2 linked regions of the Diceros bicornis minor genome follow. The protein of the gene in region 2 binds, or shares a complex with, the protein of the main gene of each other region. Links are inferred from orthologs where the notes say so. Each region holds a gene or a part of one and is shown on either strand. Other genes may lie near its edges. The genes, in order: histone H1.4 and KDM4A.

What was found.
Region 1: the proteins of KDM4A (region 2) and histone H1.4 are in contact, whole or in part, in a crystal structure (PDB 6H8P), measured with the Homo sapiens proteins. The link is inferred for Diceros bicornis minor from reciprocal best matches to the Homo sapiens genes KDM4A and H1-4. Residues at the interface, in NP_055478.2 of Homo sapiens: Ile71, Asn86, Ala134, Asp135, Asn137, Thr167, Ile168, Glu169, Gly170, Val171, Tyr175, Tyr177, Glu190, Asp191, Ser196, His240, Lys241, Ser288, Thr289, Asn290, Asp311, Met312, Val313; in NP_005312.1 of Homo sapiens: Ala24, Arg25, Lys26, Ser27, Ala28, Gly29.

Annotation. Positions count from the first base shown.
Region 1 is NC_080753.1:42,162,822-42,171,736, reverse strand, and holds histone H1.4, read left to right. Parts: upstream 1-5,737; 5' UTR 5,738-5,786; coding exon 5,787-6,446; 3' UTR 6,447-6,529; downstream 6,530-8,915. Other genes in the region: histone H2B type 1-M, read left to right, coding at 7,644-8,024. UniProt on the Homo sapiens protein: Histone H1 protein binds to linker DNA between nucleosomes forming the macromolecular structure known as the chromatin fiber. Histones H1 are necessary for the condensation of nucleosome chains into higher-order structured fibers.
Region 2 is NC_080752.1:6,561,121-6,572,323, forward strand, and holds the start of KDM4A (lysine-specific demethylase 4A), read left to right. Parts: upstream 1-6,371; 5' UTR 6,372-6,463; exon of another isoform or gene 6,464-6,494; intron 6,495-6,735; exon of another isoform or gene 6,736-6,758; intron 6,759-8,757; 5' UTR 8,758-8,795; coding exon 8,796-8,933; intron 8,934-9,897; coding exon 9,898-10,073; intron 10,074-11,203. UniProt on the Homo sapiens protein: Histone demethylase that specifically demethylates 'Lys-9' and 'Lys-36' residues of histone H3, thereby playing a central role in histone code. Does not demethylate histone H3 'Lys-4', H3 'Lys-27' nor H4 'Lys-20'.

The sequences.
Region 1 (8,915 bases), on a different chromosome or scaffold from region 2:
TTAAGGAGGGGTCTGCTGGGTTTCTCCACTGTAAAGTTATTACCTTTCCCTTTGTAGTTGATAGATATCTTGGGGAGGATACCTTGAGACTATGTGAATCCTGCTTCTCCTTAAAATTTCACCCAATAATTTTAGCATCCATCTATGAATTTTATCTGCAATAAGAAAGAGTTGTCCTTTCTCCTTATGTATTTATTTATGGATATATATTTTATTCTATGAGTTAAATGCTGTATTATCAGTTTTTTTTATTTTGTTGCCAAATGGTTCCAGCTTTGGCTACTGGTAGCTCCTTGAGACTGGGTTGCATGTTTTTTCAACGTTTCCATCTTTTTTAAAATGTTTTATTTTCTGGCACCACAAGATGTTCCAGGCCCATCTGATATTTTCCCTGCTCCAGCCTTGGAATCAACTACCTCTCCAAGGAGCCCTAGTTCCTTTTATTGGAGAATGATGGTTAAAAACCAAAGATTGTGTGTGGGATGTGCTAATTGCTCCTGGGATGTCACTGCTTGTAAGTCCTTGCAGCTGAGCGAGCAAAGAAATATATGTGTAGGTGCCGGCCCCGTGGCTTAGCGGTTAAGTGCGCGGGCTCTGCTACTCGCAGCCGGGTTCGGATCCCAGGCGCCCACCGACACACTGCTTGTCCAGCCCTGCTGAGGCCGCGTCCCATATACAGCAGCTAGAAGGATGTGCAACTATGACATACAACTATCTACTGGGGCTTTGGGGGAAAGGAAAAAGGAGGAGGATTGGCAATAGATGTTAGCTCAGAGTTGGTCTTCCTCAGCAAAAAGAGGAGGATTAGCATGGATGTTAGCTCATGTTTGATCTTCCTCACAAAAAAAAAAAAGAAATATATGTGTAATTAACCCACACATACACACACACATCTTTGTTTCTGTATCTATATAATTGTAGATATATTTTACAATTTGAACTTATATTAATACTTCTGATTCTAATCTAGCACCACAAGGTTCATTTTAGCCAAATACTTCTTTTTCCACCAGTGAGAACACTGGATCTCACTTTCTGCAACATATTTACTTCTTTGTTCAATTCTAGTAGATACATAAGTAGTTTCAGAATTATTAATCTATATCCCAGAGAAAAATATTTTTATTAGATTATGGCCTTTATATATAGTTACTTTGCCTTTAGCCTTACAGTATCCAATCAAGATATTATCTTCCACAGTTACTTAAGTTAATTTTTATCTTATTCAATTCCTTCGGTGTCATTGTTGTTAATTTAATACAGTTTGGTTAATTTATTAGTGATTGTATTCCATTTTGGGTATATGTTCCCATCCCTATCGCTCTTTTCTTTTTGCTTGAGGAAGATTGTCCCTGAGCTAACACCTGTGATAGTCTTCCTCTATTTTGTATGTGGGATGCCACCGCAGCATGGCTTGATGTGTGGTGTGTATCTCTGCGCCAAGGATCTGAACCCTCGAACCCTGGGCTGCAGAAGTGGAGCACAAGAACTTAACCACTTCGCCACTGGACCAGCCCCCGATAAGTATTGCTTTTAATAGTTTGTTTATTTTGCTAGTATGTGAAACATTACTGTAGTTGTAAGAGTCAGAGTTATACAAAAAGACAGACTCAGGAAACTGTCACTCCCTCCTCATCCCTGCTACTCTGCTCCCATTCCTGCCTTCTTTCCATTCCTTTCTAACCTACCCCCCATGGATAACCAATCTCGTTCATTTTTGGTTTATCCTTCCGGTATATCTTTTGCACAAATGAGCAGAAAAATGTGTTTTCTTATATACTCTTCTTTCACTTACGGAGGATATCATACTATGGATAGTCTTTTGCACTTGGCTTTTTCACTTAATCCTATATCCCTGAGTTTGCTCCTGATTAGTTCATAGAGATCTTCTTCATTCATTGTTGTAGCTGATATTACTCAACTATGCATATGTGCCCTAGTTTATTCAGCCCCTCTCTTACATGTGGATATTAAAATGCTTTCCAATATTTTACAGTTCCAAACAACGCTACAATGAATAACCTGGGCTATGCAACCCTGCAACCCACAGTGTTCATTGTAAAATTAAACAAAAGAAATAACAATTTCTAAGAAAATATATAGCCCTTTTTAAGAAAAGTTTTCCAGAAATGCTCTACATCAAAAGCCAAGATACAGTGCCTATTAAGAGTCCACAAAGGGAAGTTTGTCTCAACATATAGAGTTCTGCAGGTCGTCTTCAGAGTGTCGCTGTGTCTGTGCTTATATAGCACACCTCGTATGAGGGAGCTGGGGAGGTGCTAATTTGTCTAGCAAAAAACACCTTTTCCCCAAGCTCTGTCTTCAATAAAACTATCAGGGTAACATATTAAAATAGCAAAGTCCAGAATCAAGTGCTTGGAGCCCAGAGTTGTGGAGTAGAAGGAACCAAGTACAAGCCTCTCTTTTCTTTCAGTTTTTCTACAAATCACATTGTTCCTCTTAGCTTAGTTGCTATCAGGTCCAAAATAGAAATGTTTACAGAGTGCTCCCTACTTTCCATCAGTCGGAGTTCTATAGAGGCTTAAAAAAAAAGTCAAAAATAGGAAATTATTTTTTTAGCTCATTAGAGATTAATAAACTTAAGAATATTTTATAACTACAAAAGTTCAAGAAATTGCATGAGGAAGACTCCTCCACTCTGGCCACATTAGCCTGTACAGAGACAAATACATTTTACACAGGGCCATCCAGCACACAGTCAAGGAGCTGTGTAGATAACTGAAACTACATGCATTGAGCTCTGGTATTTTATATTCTACTCTAGTTTGTTAACAAAGAAACATTTTAGCCTTGTGCTACTATATTGATTTCACCACCTTTAATGATCATTCAGACCTGTAGTATGAAAAACACTGTTTTTAAGAGCACATGCTTTGAAATCAGACAGATGTGAGCTGGAACCCAGGATGCACCTCTTACCAGCAGTCTTCTCAGGAGAATTTCTCAACCCGTGAAAGCCCATTTCCTCCTATGTAAAATGGGGGTGCTATCTATAGCGCGGATTGTTGCATTGACTAAGAATGCAGGTAGCACACAGTACAGTAGTCAATAAATGGAAAGGGTAACTTTTATTAAGAATGATAAAATGGGACAAGAAGTGGAGATGCTGTACTAGGGAATTCTGGTAGTCCACAGGCAATCAGTCCAGACCACCCTCTGTGGATGGAAAATAATGAAGCAGAAGATCCTTTACCGTTACTCTCCCTTCTCTTTCTTGAACCCACTCTAGTGCCCAGTCAGGTGTTAATCCAAGGAAGTCAGGATTGGATTCCTGCTGCCCCCATCCTCCCAACCTGTGGTCATATCCAGCACGGACTTCTTTTCGAAGATCTTGAAGGCAAGTCCAGAAATCCACAGGAACACTCAGATCACAGGAAACACTTTTGACCTGTCAATCACCTCCAGTGAGCGTGGCAGTGGTTCCCACACTTGGCTGGGCATCAGGAGAATCTGAAGAAGTTGTGAAATATTCAGATTCTGAGACCCACTGAAGTCGTTGGTTCAGAAGCATCTAGAACAAGACTTTGGAATCTATATTTAAAACACATGCACAGCACACACACACACAGTTCTGATATAGCTGACAGATCAACAGGAAAATGGAGTCCTTTGGTGTTACTCTTATTTCAAATAAATGCTTGATTTAACAGTGGAAGATCCTCAATATCTTCAAATTTGTCACATTTATAAGAAAACACACTGTACCATGGGAGATGAACATAGGTGAGTTGAAAGATCACAGGATTTGGAGAGTTTACGTCCCTCCAAGTCAGAAGTAGTAAGGAACACATAGAATAGAGTAAGGCATTTGAGAGAAAACTTCAATGTGTTGTGCAAATTTCAGCTAGCTGTGAGAGTGGTTTGTTTGTTACTGAAAGTGAGTATAACCCCACTGTTCTGGGATCAATTGACCGTAAAATCGGTTTCCCTAGTAACTATCAATTGGTTGGTTTTGGAACCTTATCCCCTCCCTTTTTATTTTAAACTATACCAAAGGGCACATTTATTTTTCACTAGCATGCAAGAATTACATTGAAAATGTTTACATGTTAGGGCTTAAAATATATTGATAATCTACATCACTTTTATACTGGATTCAACATTAATTTAAATAAGACTATTTTGAAACATTGCAACATGTATCAAAGATCTGTATTCTCTTTTATTTCAGTAGTAGTAGGGTCGGTCTGTTGAGTGTAGAGAAGATTTGGGGCAATGGAACTAAAAATTGATGTGATGTTCAATGCTATGTTACAACCAGCCACACTTGCAGAATAGTATCATATCACCTTATAGCACTGACCAAAATTTTATTTTGTCTGTCAAGTACATGCCTTGCAGTTTTTAAAGACAATTCTATCCAGACCATTTTCCAGGAATAGTTCTTTTAGTTGGGTTTGCATTGCCAAGATGTACTCTTTGTTGATTGGGTAACTGCCTAAACAAATCCATTAGTTCAGAGACCTTGCAAAGGATGTCTTCAGAGGGCAATAACTTAACTTGGATAGTCCATCAAAGCTCTGCTTCTGAGATGGAAATTTGAACTTGTCATTCAATCATACATGTAACTCATTTTCTTTTTTATGGAGCTCCGGGAAGCATAGAGCCATAATCTTCATGATTGAAGCCATATTTGGTGTGTAGACTAGTCATTCATCAGCTATTCAGTAATAACAGGGTCTGGGGTTCTCTAGTAATGGAAATAGGTATGTTATAATCTACACTTCTCATTTATTTCCCTTTACTATCGATGCTTGAATTTCAATTCTAGCTAGTATATTACAATCTGATCCTGAAACACATATCGAAAGAATTCAGCAAGACTGCAGACAAATTCTTCAAAGAGCACCTCCACTTCCAGTGACTTTATGGACATCATCTGCGTGTTATTTGAAAATTAATCTTTTTCCATCTTGTACCCTATGTGTTGGACTCCCCTTCCTTCCCAGATATCCTGAATTCAAGTTATCTAAACTCATGAAGCAGTTGTCCAGAGGAAGAGAAGCAACAGCCCCGCCCCCAACCCTTGGGAGCAGAAAGGAAAAGAATTATCCTAAGGAATTGTTAAAAATCCCAGATGCAGCAGACAGAAACAAACCATGGCTGTATAGGTTGATGTCCCAGGGGTCTAAAATTTAACCCCACATGGGCAATAATTTGTTTGGCATTAAACTAAACCAGTTTGATGAACTCAAATGCCCTCGGCTCAATAGGCAGGACTCTCCGAGGAGCCTGTGTTACTTCCCTCACTTAAGCGCAGATTTGTAATAAAAATCTTAATGCCAGTGGCATGGTTTTTGGACATATAAGAAGCTAACAACTTGCAGAATCATATTTGAGAGGTCAGAAAACTCCACAGTCAAAGGTCGATTTATAATTTGCGAAGAAAATAGAAAGTTTTGTTTCTCTCAGTTGAAATTTGGCGAGGACGGCGAGAAATATTGCTGGTTTTTGGCATAAGGTTTTGTGCTTTCCTCATAATTTGAGACCTGCGTGAAGCCTGAGGCTTCGGGGATCATTTTTTGAGAAAAATCAGGCAATTCGGTGTAGAGAATTTTGATATTTTTGACATTTTTTGAGGTGTAACAAACACAACTCGGGATCCGAGAGGACACTCTGCGGCTGCCAGCTAGGCGGGCTGGACAGCGCACCAATCACGGCGCAGCTCCGCCCTATATAAACGGGCGGGCGCAGCGCCGCGGCCCGAGTCCCGGCCAGTGTCTCTGCTTCCGGCTCGAATTGCTCTCTCCAAACCCGCCTTCAATATGTCTGAGACTGCGCCCGCCGCGCCCGCTGCTCCGGCCCCTGCCGAAAAAACGCCAGTGAAGAAAAAAGCCCGCAAGGCGGCAGGTGCCGGGAAGCGCAAAGCGTCGGGACCCCCAGTGTCCGAGCTCATCACCAAGGCTGTCGCTGCCTCTAAAGAGCGCAGTGGCGTGTCCCTGGCTGCGCTCAAGAAGGCGCTGGCGGCCGCTGGTTACGACGTGGAGAAGAACAACAGTCGCATCAAGTTGGGTCTGAAGAGCCTGGTGAGCAAGGGCACGCTGGTGCAGACCAAGGGCACTGGTGCGTCGGGTTCTTTTAAGCTCAACAAGAAGGCAGCCACTGGCGAAGCTAAGCCCAAGGCCAAGAAGGCGGGCGCGGCCAAGCCCAAGAAGCCTGCGGGAGCGGCTAAGAAGCCCAAGAAGACCACGGGGGCGGCCACCCCAAAGAAGAGCGCTAAAAAGACCCCAAAGAAGGCGAAGAAGCCTGCTGCGGCTGCGGGAGCCAAAAAGGCAAAGAGCCCCAAAAAGGCTAAAGCAGCCAGGCCCAAGAAGGCGCCCAAAAGCCCAGCGAAGGCCAAAGCGGTGAAACCCAAGGCGGCTAAACCAAAGACCGCCAAACCGAAGGCAGCCAAGCCAAAGAAGGCGGCAGCCAAGAAAAAGTAAGAAGTTTCCTTGGCCAACTGCTTGTGAGCTCAACACAACCCAAAGGCTCTTTTCAGAGCCACCCACAGATATCACATAAAGAGCTGTGGCACTTTTTAAAGGGGGCGTGGCTGTAAGCCCTGAAGCACGGGGCGGGCCCCCAGGGATGTGGTATGGGTTGCAGTAGTGAGTAATATCGTCCTCCGGTTGAACACGCCTGTGTCCTCGGAGAACTGCTGACTGAGGCCTGAGCGGGATAGGGGTGCCGGGTTTGAGTACCTGTCCATTGTCTCCAGAGCTCGGAGAGAAAATTCTGCAAATATTAGGAGTACGCCGGTTGTAAGTAGGTAGCTCGTAACACCCACCCCTGACCCCCACCTAGGATGCCATATGAAAGACCACAGATTTGGGGGCGAAAGTGATATTTCAAGTGTTGTTGCAGGACCTATGTTATGTAGGTGTTGGGAGATTGTAATGTTTCACCCAAAATTATCAGATGCACTCAGCATTTACCTATTGCGTTAAAGATTTACCGTTGTATGGGACACTTGCGTTCAGAACAAACCAAAAGGTAAAATTGGCAGATTTGGGCGAAGACGTTCCCGAATATTTTAACCATAATGGTTTATGGTAAAACAAGTTCGCAGGGTTTTTGGTAGAGAAAGATAAGGGAATGCAAACTTGAAAGGGTCACGCAGTCCAGCGTTATTGCTGAGCTTCTAGTGGTTGGGATTTGGTTAGCTGCTGCGGGGATAATGAGCTACTCAACAACCGCTGGCCCACCAGCTCTAGCAGCTAGGACATCAGCACAGCCACTAGGTGTCACTGGCGTGGGGCCCGGACCCAATGCACAAAGTTATTCTGGCGAGCACGGAGTTGCTTCCACTCACAAACCTAAAACTGGCCTCTTCGAAATAAAAGTTCCATCTCTTCGAGATGTACAGCCCCGTCGCTTGAAGAGGCCATTTATAGTAGCTTTGGGTAGCCTAGTATAGGCCTTCTGATTGGGTCGAAGCAAAGTAACCAAATAGCCAATGAAAAGGTAGACGTGCAACTATCATTTACATTCGTATTTGTGACGACACTAAAATTAATCCAATCATGAGCGAAATCTTACTAACCTAATTTGAATACCGCATCTATAAATAAATGTGGCCTCGCTGGGGGTGACTATTTTCCCAGGTGTTAGCGATAGTGTTGTGATTTTTTAACGTTACAATGCCTGAACCTACCAAGTCTGCTCCAGCCCCGAAAAAGGGCTCCAAGAAGGCGGTGACCAAGGCGCAGAAGAAAGACGGCAAGAAGCGCAAGCGCAGCCGCAAGGAGAGCTACTCCGTGTACGTGTACAAGGTGCTGAAGCAGGTTCACCCCGACACCGGCATCTCGTCCAAGGCCATGGGCATCATGAACTCGTTCGTCAACGACATCTTCGAGCGCATCGCGGGCGAGGCGTCGCGCCTGGCGCATTACAACAAGCGCTCGACCATCACGTCCAGGGAGATCCAGACGGCCGTGCGCCTGCTGCTGCCTGGGGAGCTGGCCAAGCACGCCGTGTCCGAGGGCACCAAGGCCGTCACCAAGTACACCAGCTCCAAGTAAACTTGTCAAGTAAGCGTCTTTACATCTAACCCCAAAGGCTCTTTTAAGAGCCACGCATGCTTTCAACAAGTGAGTTGTAATCCTTTTATTCCAAAGGCTATTCTCGGATTTCTCATACCAAATTTAAACCTATGCTACCGTTTTTGAATGCTGTATTACAGCTGCGTAGGAAATACTTGTAGGGTACCTAGACAATAACAAAACATAAATTGCGCGCTCATTATGGGCAAATAGAATTCCATAAAGCTATTCATCATTTACTGTCGCATAACTAGATAAGTAATTTGAACTGGAAATGCCATTTCAAGTGTACAGCTTTCGTTTCCGTGTGTAGGTCTCCAAGCTGATCCTGATGTTGATCCGGGACTTGGCGATGACTGCTCATCCAGAGCACGAAAGAGCATTTTCTGATAACTTTATTCTGCTCAGAATTTCTTTTCTTCTTTCTTTCTTAACATACAGATGTGTATTACTGAAAAAAGACTGAAGACAATGAGTTTTCACGGAAACACTACTGAGGTTTTTCTGGTTTGCTTGCTTTGCAATTGGTCTAATTTTTGCTTGAGGCTCTGAACAGCGAGTGGGGGAGGTAGAGGAGGAGCTTATACTGTGTCCTGAAGGCACCGAGGGAGAGAAAACGGAAGCCGCTTTTGAGACGCCTTCAAATCCTCTCAGTTACTACATCTTTTTTCCCAAAAAGTCCTATTTAATTTACAGCCTTTTGGCAGTATTCAGCTGTAATGTCCTCTGGGTCACAAAAGAGAAGCCCAATACTCAGTCCGTTAAGATGGCTGATTAGATAGACAATAGTTATCTCAGGACTGAGGCCCCCTTTTCAGTACCCTATACCCTTTCCCGGGTGTCCCCGAGTGTCAAGCATGGAGGGGAGGT
Region 2 (11,203 bases):
TGTCCCTCGACTGACGATTGGATTAAGAAAATGTGGTATATATATACAATGGAATACTACTCAGCCATAAAAAAAGACAAAATCGTCCCATTTGCAACAACATGGATGGGCCTGGAGCGTATTATGTTAAGTGAAATAAGCCAGAAAGAGAAAGACAAACACTGTATGATCTCACTCATATGTGGAATATAAACCAACACATGGACAGAGAAAACTGGACTGTGGTTACCCGGGAAGTGGGGGTGGGGGGTGGGCACAAGGGGTGAAGGGAGTCATATATGGGGTGATGGACAAACAAAAATGTACAACCCAAAATTTCACAATGTTAGAAACCATTAAAATATCAATAAAAATCAAAAAAAAAAAAAAAAATTGACAGGGCCGGCCCCGTGGCTTAGCGGTTAAGTGCGCGCGCTCCGCTGCTGGCGGCCCGGGTTCGGATCCCGGGCGCGCACGGACACACCGCTTCTCCGGCCATGCTGAGGCCGTGTCCCACATACAGCAACTAGAAGGATGTGCAGCTATGACATACAACTATCTACTGGGGCTTTGGGGGAAATAAATAAATAAAAATCTTTAAAAAAAAAATTTCACAAAAGATTTGAATAGATATTTCACCAAAGAGGATATATGAACAGCTAATAAGCATATAAAAAGATGCTCAACATCATTAGTCATTAGAGAAATGCAAGTTAAAACCTCAATGAGATACCACTTCACACCCACTAGAATGGCTATAATCAGAAAGATAGACAATAACAAATGTTGGCAAGGATGTGGAGAAAATGGGAACCCTCATATATTGTTGATGGGAATGTAAAATGGTACAGCCACTTTGGAAAACAGTTTGGCAGTTTCTTACAAAGATAAACATAAATTGACGACATGACACAGAAATTCCTCTCCTAATTATCTACCCAAGAGAAATGAAAACATACATTCACACAAAGACTTGCACATAAATGTTGATAGAAGCTCTATTCTTGGGCCGGCCCCGTGGCTTAGCGGTTAAGTGCGCGCGCTCCGCTGCTGGCGGCCCGGGTTCGGATCCCAGGCGCGCACCGACACACCGCTTCTCCGGCCATGCTGAGGCCGCGTCCCACATACAGCAACTAGAAGGATGTGCAACTATGACATACAACTATCTACTGGGGCTTTGGGGGGAAAAATAAATAAATAAATAAATTGTTAAAAAAAAAAAGAAGCCCTACTCATAATAGCCAAAAAGTGGAAACAACCCAAATGTCAATCAATACTACAAAGAGATACTATTCAACATTAAAAAGGAAGAAATACTGATGCATGCTACAACATGGATGAATCTCAAACAAAACAAAACAAAAAAAACATGCTAAGTGACAAAAGCCAGACACAAAAGACCACATATTGTATGGTTCTATTTATATGAAATGTCCAGAAAAGGCAGATCTGTGTAGACAGAAAGTAGATCAACAGTTGCCTGGGGCTGGGAGTGGGGACAGAGAGATTGTAACTGGGCACAAGCGATCTTATTGAGGGGGTAGATTTTATTGAGGTGATGGAAATGTTCTAAAACCGGATTGGGTGATGGTTGCCTGACTTGGTCAATTTTTAAATAATCTTTTTTTTTTTTTTTTTTTTTGTGAGGAAGATCAGCCCTGAGCTAACATCCATGCCAATCCTCCTCTTTTTGCTGAGGAAGACTGGCCCTGAGCTAACCTCTATTGCTGATCCTCCTCCTTTTTCTCCCCAAAGCCCCAGTAGATAGTTGTATGTCATAGCTGCACATCCTTCTAGTTGCTGTATGTGGGATGCGGCCTCAGCATAGCTGGAGAAGCGGTGCGTTGGTGTGCGCCCGGGATCCCAACCCGGGCCGCCAGTAGTGGACCACACGCACTTAATCGCTAAGCCACGGGGCTGGCCTCTAAAAATATCATTAAATTATACCCTTGAAATAGGCAGATTATATGGTATGCAAATTATATCTCAATAAAGTTGTTTTTATAAAAAGAAAAATGTTGATGACAACGTCAACAATCTTTGTGTATATAAAGCACTTAGCATAGTGTTTGGACATCGTAAGTGCTCAAATATAGTTAACTTTTTAAGCTAATAATATTGCCATTATTATTAGTGATGTAATGCTTACTATGTGCTAGGCGTTGTGCTGGGAGCTGGATAAAGGGAAGCTCCAGGGAAGAATCCTTGAGGTAGGACCATGGCAGGAACTGGATGCCATGATGACAGAGTTTCACGTCCAAATCCTACCGCCATTGCTAGCAAGTCCCTCTAAAAGGTGGGCAGATTCTGGGAGACGTTTTGCTGAGTCTGATACGAGGAACAGATGCTGCTGATACTGTCCCTTTTCTCCTCATCCCTGTGAATGTGGGCATGATGTCTGGGGCTGCAGCATTCACCTTACAACCGTGAGGTGCACATGTGAGGGCCAAACCCAGGTTGTGCGGCATGATGGAAAAAGATGGAAGGAGCCTGTGTCTTTGGTGCCTTTGTTGAGCACTGACCCAATGCCAATAAATGTCCCCCTTCAGACTTCTTATTACATGAGAAAAATAAGCTTATATTTGTTTCAGCCACTGTTGCTAGGGTTTTCTATCTCTGGCAATGGAACACATTCCTAAATACTACCGATAAGACCTAAGTGATACTCTTAAGAGACTTTTGCCTAGTGGAGGAAGATGCATATGTAATCAAACCTATGCACTTGTAAAACACTTACCTTGTGGAACTCCGTCTGGGGTGAGGTAATGGACCGCATCAAGGAGTCCGTAGTTGCATACTGGTTTCTGGCTTAGGTGACTGGGTGGATGCTGTCTCAATAATTGAGATAGGAAAAACCTAGAAGGTGGAGTTCACATGTGGGGCAAAAAGATTAGTTCTTTACTGGGCATGTGGGTTTTAGGTACTTTGGAGGACATGAAGGGGGAGGGATCCAGAGATAGGAGGATTTATAGATCCAACTCCGGGGAGAAGATTGTGCTGGAGTATAGAATGGATGTCATCAGTGTGTGCATATGAATGAAGTTTAAGAGTGAAAGTATATTGAGCTCTCATTTCAGGCTTTATGCGAAGTGCTTTGTATCAGTACCATCATCATCACCATCATCACCCTCCATCAACACAGCTAACAGTTACTGACCACTCATTACATGTCAATTCAACTTTTAAGTGCTTTACCTGCATTATCTCATTCAGTTCTTACAACCAAAACAGGGAAGTACTATTCCAATTTTAGTTATGAGATAACTGCGGATTAGAGAAATTAATTGCCCTCAAGTCATACTGCTAGTGGGTTGTGAAACCTGAAACACCTAAGGAGAGTTTGTAGAATGAAAGAAGAGGGCAAAGGACAGAGAGCCATGAGGACATCAACATGTTTTTTTTTCCTTTTTTTTTTTTAATTAAAATTAGGGGGCGGGCCCAGTGTCATAATGGTTAAGTTTATACGCTCCGCTTTGGCGTTCTGGGGTTCACCAGTTCAGGTCCCAGGTGCGGACCTATGCACCACTTATCAAGCTATGCTGTGGCAGCATCCCACATATAAAGTAGAGGAAGAAGAAGGGGCGGGCCTGGTGGCCAGCGGTTAAGTGAGCGTGCTCCACTTTGGCAGCCCGGCCAGGGTTCCCAGGTTCGTATCCCAGGCACGCACTGACGCACAGCAGCGACGCACCGCTCGTCACGCCAGACCGTGGCGGCGTCCCATATAAAGTAGAGGAAGATGGGCACAGATGTTAGCCCAGGGCCAATCTTCCTCAGCAAAAAAAGAGGAGGATTGGCAACACATGTTAGCTCAGGGCTGATCTTCCTCACCAAAAAAAACCCAAAAAAACCCCAAAAACCCAGAAACAAAGTAGAGGAAGATGGGCACGGATGTCAGCCCAGGGCCAATCTTCCTCAGCAAAAAGAGGAGGAGTAGCAACAGATGTTAGCTCAGGGCTAATCTTCCTCAGCAAAAAATAAAAATAAATTAATTCGTAATTTAATTTTAAACATACAATAAATATTATGCACAACTTACATGCTCATTGAATTTTTTTTTTTTTTTTTTTTTGGTAAGGAAGATCAGCCCTCAGCTAACATCCATGCCAATCCCCTCTTTTTGCTGAGGAAGACTGGCCCTGGGCTAACATCTGTGCCCATCTTCCTCCACTTTATATGGGATGCCGCTACAGCATGGCCTGACAAGCGGTGCACTGGTGCGCGCCTGGGATCTGAACCCGGGCCGCCAGCAGCAGAGTGCGTGCACTTAACTGCTACGCCACGGGGCCGGCCCCTCAATGAATTTTTACAATGTGAACACACCAGTGTAATAGCTACCATCCAGATTAAGAAACAGAACACTACCAACACCCCAGAAGCAGTCCTTATGCTGCCTCTGCCTCCCATCATTCCCTGTCCCCTACCCAAAGGTAACCACAACTTTGACCTCTTTCACCATAGATTAGTTTTGTTTTCAACATCAACATTTAAAGGGTGGGAAAGGAAAGATGAGCTTAAAAAGGTGACTGAGATAAACTGGTCAGAGAAATGGGAGGACATCAAGAGAACTTGACCTAGGCTCCACTATCACATGTACACATTAATTGGAAGCCAGTGATACAAAGTAGCAGCTATCTGGGAAAATCCTCTTTGGCAGCAATGGGAAATGTAGCAAGATCACATTCCTGGAGTAGTTGGTACTGACAGCAGTGCTGGTAACTGTATCCACGTCCAGGCAGTGAAGTCGTGAGGCGAGCTGCAGCATCTTGTGCTTGGCGGCAGCAGCAAGGACAGTGGTGGATGAATTCTATGGCATGATTTGGCATGGTTTTCCTCATTACATATCCTGCAAGTTGAATTCTTCAGACTCATAGCAATTTTGTGAGCCACTCAATATAAGCTATTATCTAATATATTACCTTACTAAAGGTCAAGAGAGAAAAACCTTATAATTATTGCGAAAGACTATGGTTGTCTACCCAACGGTCATTCCCTTGTCTTTTCTGAAACAGAAATCTGCTGGGTTTTGGGGGATGGGGTGGGGGGAGCATGTGCCCATCCCCAGGGGATAAATCCTGATTGGTCTACGTCCATACCATTCTATGTAACACCATCCTTTTTGCCAACACATATTAACTCTCATGTTCAAAACACTCCTGCAAGGCAAGTATTATTTTTTCCATTTTACTGATGGGAAAACCTAGGCTCAGAGGAGCGACTGGTGTTGAAGACATCTGACTCCATAACTCTTTCCAGTGCACTACACCATTACTCACTTATGGGTAATTTTGTACACTTTTTTTTTATTTTTTCCCCCAAAGCCCCAGTAGATAGTTGTATGACATAGCTGCACATCCTTCTAGTTGCTGTATGTGGGACGTGGCCTCAGCATGGCCGGAGAAGCGGCGCGTCGGTGCGCACCCGGGATCCGAACCCCGGCCGCCAGCAGCGGAGCGCGCGCACTTAACTGCTAGGCCACAGGCCGGCCCTGTACACTTTTTATGACTGGTTGTGGGTAGTCTACTTTTCTATTTGACCTATCAGTGTCCTGTATGCCTCCTTCCCCATCACCCTTGATAATCCAAGAGTTCCTTAAGGTGACTCACTACCTCTCAGGAACCGCTCCTAATGACTTCTAGGAACCCCCTCACCCTCTAGAAGTGGGTCTAATGACTCCCCGGATCTCCTCTCCCCGCCCCAAGAGCTGCTCCTAATGACCCCTAAATCCCCGCTCACTGAGGAACTGCTGTTTAACGACCCTAAGGACATCCCCCCTTAGGACCCGTCCTAATGACCCTCAGAGCTCCTTCCCCTTCAGGAACAGCTCCTTTCAAGAAATGTCCCGGTTTGCTGGCGAGTGAGGGGGTTCCCAGAACACAGGACTTTTAGTTTTAAAAACCGAAACAGTCCCGGGCAAACCGTGACAAGTTGGTCAGCTTATCAGGAACTCTTGACCGGGGAAGCTGCCCCTAAGGGCCCCCAGCGCACTTCCACCTTAGGCCAGGGCCCTACTCACCCCAAAAAGACTGTGCCCCAGCCTTTCGTCAGAAACCTCGTACAATAACCTCATCGCCCTTACCCTCGCCGGCCATCCCATTTCCAGGCACTCGCCTCTTTCAATCCTGATTAGCTATGGGCAGCCAGAAGCCCGCTTATGATTGGCCACTTCCGTGATTCAGCCGAGATGCTCAGTGGCCGCGGTCCCGAGTGGTACAGCATTTCCTCCTGGCAACAGCCCGAGCCGGCGCTCATAGGCTGAGAAGATTGATGTGCCCGGACTTCGGGGCGGTTTTAGCGCGTGCTCATTGGCTGTTGGAGGCTGATAGCGGCCCTCGGATTGGTTGAGTCTGTGGGCGCTATGCGGCTGCGCAGAGGCCGACTTGCGAGGAGGCGGGGCTTCGCCCTTAGCCGGGTGGAAAAGCAGTAGGATCGGCTAGTGGTGACAGCAGAAGCCGGGCCTTAGCCTTGCCGGGGCGGTGGGGTTTAGGTGAGAACCATAGAGTTTTGGAATCCTTTAGGTTTGTTGCTGCTATGGCCGTGACCGTGAGCTCCGGTGGGGGAGGGGCAGATGGGAGGAGCCTTCGGCGTGAGTGATAGGCATGGCCCTCAGCCAACGGGAGCAGGAGGTTCTAAAATGGGTCCTGACATTGGTCCTTTCCAATCTCTTATGGCCAATGGACGTCGGGAAGGGGGGCGGGTGTACTGGACCTTATTTTCTTCTTCCTGCGGCCGGGACCCACTCGCCTAGGCGGCGGGGCCGGGAGGAGCCCCGTGTGTCTGCGGTGAGGTTCGGGGGCCTTGGGAGTGGGGGGCTACCTTGGGAGCGATACCCGCGGGAGCGGCTGCGAGGGGCGGGGGTGGGAGCTCGAAGGGGCTGTTAGCAATAGCTACATTTATTGAGTGGTTAAGCACCGGGCCTAGTGCTTAGCGTTTCGCTTGCATCATCTGAGTTAATCACAGCAACCCTGCAGGGCAGGGAGGTCGGGATCCCCATATCACAGGTGGGGAAACTGAGACTCGGGCAATTCACACAGCCAAGGTCACACAGCTAATAAATGGCAGAGACCGGGTATGTATTCAGAGTTGTTTTGACTCCGGAGCCCGTGGTCTTAAACCACTAGGCTTTGTTGCTGGATGGGGGAAGGAAGGTGTCCGGGAACAGGAGGTTTCCCCAGGGAGTAGATTGGGGGAAGGGAATCCTAGGGTTGAAGAAAGGGAATGAGCAACCGAGGTGAGGACGAGGAAATCAGTTACTCACCAGTTACTGAGTGCCTACTTTGTGCCAGGCATTGTTCTAGGTTCTAGGCATACAAAAATGAATAAGGCCAGAGGCGAATGAAGCCCAATTAGGGGCTTCCAAGGCCCAGGTGAACACTCCCACTGTGTTCATCTGATTATATGTTTTTGTAAAATTTAGAAAAATAAGATATTTTGTATTCTTTTTTTTAAAAAAGAGGGTACTCAAAATTGAATAAGCTTCCAATTCCCTCACGCTTGAGTCTGCCCTTCCAAAGGATTTAGTCTAGGTGGAGATTATGATGTCGGCAGCGTAGTGTAATGGAAGGAGCACTAGTAGTGCATTACACGACTGTGGGCAAATTTCCTGGTATGTAAAGCAGAGATAACAGTATACCTGCCATGCAAAGTTTTGGCAAGGTGCATGAAAAGCGCGTGGCCAGGAACATGCTATTTTCGGTGAAGTGGAAGCCTGAGAGATGCGGATAGTGGTGCTGTTTTCTTTCCTACCTTATACAGTTTTGCTCCATGCTGCCTTCCCAGTCTGCTACTAGATTGCTGGTAGGTTGGAGGCAGTTTTCTCTTTTCTGAGCTCTCCAGCTCTCAAGGGGACTCTTGGAGGTGAACTGGCCTGGCTTTGGGGCCCAGATTGGGGGAATTCAGTAGAGGAAAGGACATACGGTTTTTGCTTCTAAACTGGCTCCTTTTAGCTGGTATGCTTGGTTCTTATTCAGTTGAAATAGTCTATTGTGTTACCAGACAATGGGGATGCACCCATTTAGCTGAAGGCCTCTTCTAAAAACAAAGTGTTTATACTTCACCCTCTCCAGTCAGTCAGGAAGTTTGCCCTGGATTGCCAGTTTATTGCCTGTTTCAGTTTTCTCCTTGGAGTTCTGGGTACAGTGCCATTGAATTAGTCTGTAGCTTGACTTCATGAGGTACTGCTGAGACTGCCTTTTGGTTTAGCCGTGAGAACAATTTCGCTTGAGGGTTTTAAAAATCATGGCTCATGCTACTAATATCAGAGTACTTATTAACCCTTAAACTGTGTAATCTTGTAGCCAAGTAACTTTTCTTAGGGAGTCTAGAATCCTGTTTTAAAGCTGTGCCCTAGAAGGGAGTCCGTAGGTTGCTTTGTAAAATCTGGTTGTAGTATATTATGTTTAATACTCTGAGAAGCAATTAGCAAGGTGTGAATAGGGAGCAACTTGAAAAGATAAGGGTAAAATATGGGCAGGGCAGCTGTATTGTTAGATAGGGCCAACAACCAAATAATTAGTTTCCCTTTGTTAGCTGAAACAGTGTCTCCAATTAAATGAGATATGAATACATGAAATTTTGGTACATCAGGTTCTTTTGAACAGAGCCTTTCCTATCTGTATTTCTTGTTCATTTAAATAACTTATCTAGAGGCAGATTCCAGGTATGAGGATTTAATGCTGCTTCAGAACTTCTACATCATCTACTATTTTCAGCACTGACATTCCCAGCATTTAGCTTTAGTTACATTTTATATAATTTTATGTTCTTAATGTGTTTCTTCAGATTGCTCTCTGACCAAGTGACCTCAAAAAAGAGGGAAAATGGCTTCTGAATCTGAAACCCTGAATCCTAGTGCTCGAATAATGACTTTTTATCCAACCATGGAGGAGTTCCGGAATTTCAGCCGATACATTGCCTACATTGAATCTCAAGGAGCTCATCGGGCTGGGCTTGCCAAGGTGAGGGGTGGGACCATTCAGCAGGGCTGTTGTGACAGAGGGTAGCAGTAAGACTTTTCCTAAATGAAGGGTGGAAGCACTGAACCTTACTGAAAGCCAGGCAGGGTGATCAGTTAAGTGTATGCTGTCCTATTTGCAAGTTAATTCCTTTCGTTAACATCTGAAGCATCTCTCTTTTAGGTGGGAGGAGAACTGCTTGGGATCTTGAAAAGGAAGGTGAAGAGCCAGTGTCTCAGGGTCAGCTGCTGTGGTGCTTCCATCCTCGTGGTGGGGATGGAGGCTGTAGTGTTTTGTTTTGTTTTTTAAATCTTTTACACATGTTGATTTTTTTTTTTTACTATTTGTACAAGAGTTGTGATTTTATTCTCTTTTTATTTTCTTATTTTTCTTTTTGCTGAGGAAGACTGGCCCTGGGCTAACATCCGTGCCCATCTTCCTCTACTTTATATGGGACGCCGCCACAGCATGGCCTGACAAGCAGAGCGTCAGTGCGCTCCCAGGATCCGAACCTGCGAACCCTGAGCCACAGAAGCAGAGCCCGCGCACTTAACCGCTCCGCCACCGGGCCTGCCCGGCTTTAGTATTTTCATCTGTGACCAAGTGCTTATGCCATCCAGCTTCTCTTGTTTTCCTTTCGGTCTCAGCCAGCACTCTGATAGTAATTTGGCTTCCCATGTGGACTTTCTGTTAGATTGCGAGAGAATCATCTCTTCAGCCTCCTCTCTTGATGCCCAGATAAGATACGAGGCTGAGAACAAGTCTTACTCACCTGAGGTCATTGCAACTAGGCAGCTAGTCGGTGGCAGAACTGGATCAGTGTGACTTGCTGAGTCTGGGTGAACGTGGTTCAATCAAGTAACTTGGGTAAAATTGACTGTGAGGTTGGATAGCAGCCTACACGCTTCTGCACGCTGCCTGGCTTGCCGTTTCTGATCTGTCTCTTTGTTTCTTGTGTTTCTTACAGGTTGTTCCTCCAAAGGAGTGGAAGCCACGAGTGTCCTATGATGATATTGATGATCTGGTCATTCCTGCTCCCATCCAACAGCTGGTGACTGGGCAGTCTGGCCTCTTTACTCAGTACAACATACAGAAGAAAGCCATGACTGTTCGAGAGTTCCGCAAGATAGCCAACAGTGATAAGTGAGTGGAAACACGTTTCTTCCTTTTACCTGTCACAGCGTCTAGTACCTAACGTCTCGTCCTCACAGCTGTCTCCAAAACCACACTGTCCTACTGAAGAACAGTTTCCCACCTCTATCTTCTGTCTCCCTTTCTGACCTTTCTATTTTCATTTCCTCCTCTCAGTACTGTGTCACAGTCTAAATTTGTCCATATTCTTACGTAAAGTAATCCCATTGTTTTTCCATCAAAAGTAGAATCATTTTCTGACTCTGATAAGTTGCAAAGGAGAAGGTTGGAGTTGGTTCAAAAGGAGCTTTCGCCAGATGTATTGATACCACTTGCTTCTCAGAAAGTGGCCTTAGCAGTTTACATTAATCTCTTCCTTCTGTCTTTAATCATCCTCAGACTCCTCACTACCCATCAAGCTGCTATCTCGTTTCCTTTTTGACATTAACAAAGTGTGGATAAACTACCAAGCTGGTTGCTGTTCTCTATCACTCCATTCTTCCTCATCTGTACCTGCTTGTCTCTGTTAGAAGTGTCTTTTGTTTAGGCCTGCTGTTTTCAGTTGTCTTTCTCTGCTGTTTTTAATACTCAGCTCTCATTTGACTTCAGGTTTACAGAGCGTGAATTTCATGTTTCCCTCATCGGCTCTGACTGCTCCTTCTTAATCCTCTTCCTTGGATCTTCTCCCTTGCCATGTTACTCCTTAATTCTGAGTTTCCACAAGGGATTCCTCCCTTTTCCCTTGCTGTTTTTTCTGAGCCGTTTTGATCTACACACGTCTTGATTTCAGCCAGTCAGACATGCTGTGTCTTCCCTGTGAATGAGCCCGGAGCTGGATCTTGAGCTTGTCAGTCTTCACTTTTGGGGGCGTGACTTCATGCACTTTATCATCTCTTGCTCTCACGTCAGATCTCACTCTTTATTTCTATGCTTTGCCTTCTTTTCCTTTGACTTATCACAATTCTAAATGTAGTTTTCCAGTTTTATCGACAGCTGTTAAAACATCTATAGTGCTGGCCAACCTGCTGCCTGATGAGAGAATTTATGTAAAAGCATGTTGAAGAAGTGTGACTTGCTCTGCAGCTGAAAGGCTGTGTCGGCTTTTATGTCTGGTTTCTAGCTATGCACTGGGCCAACTACAC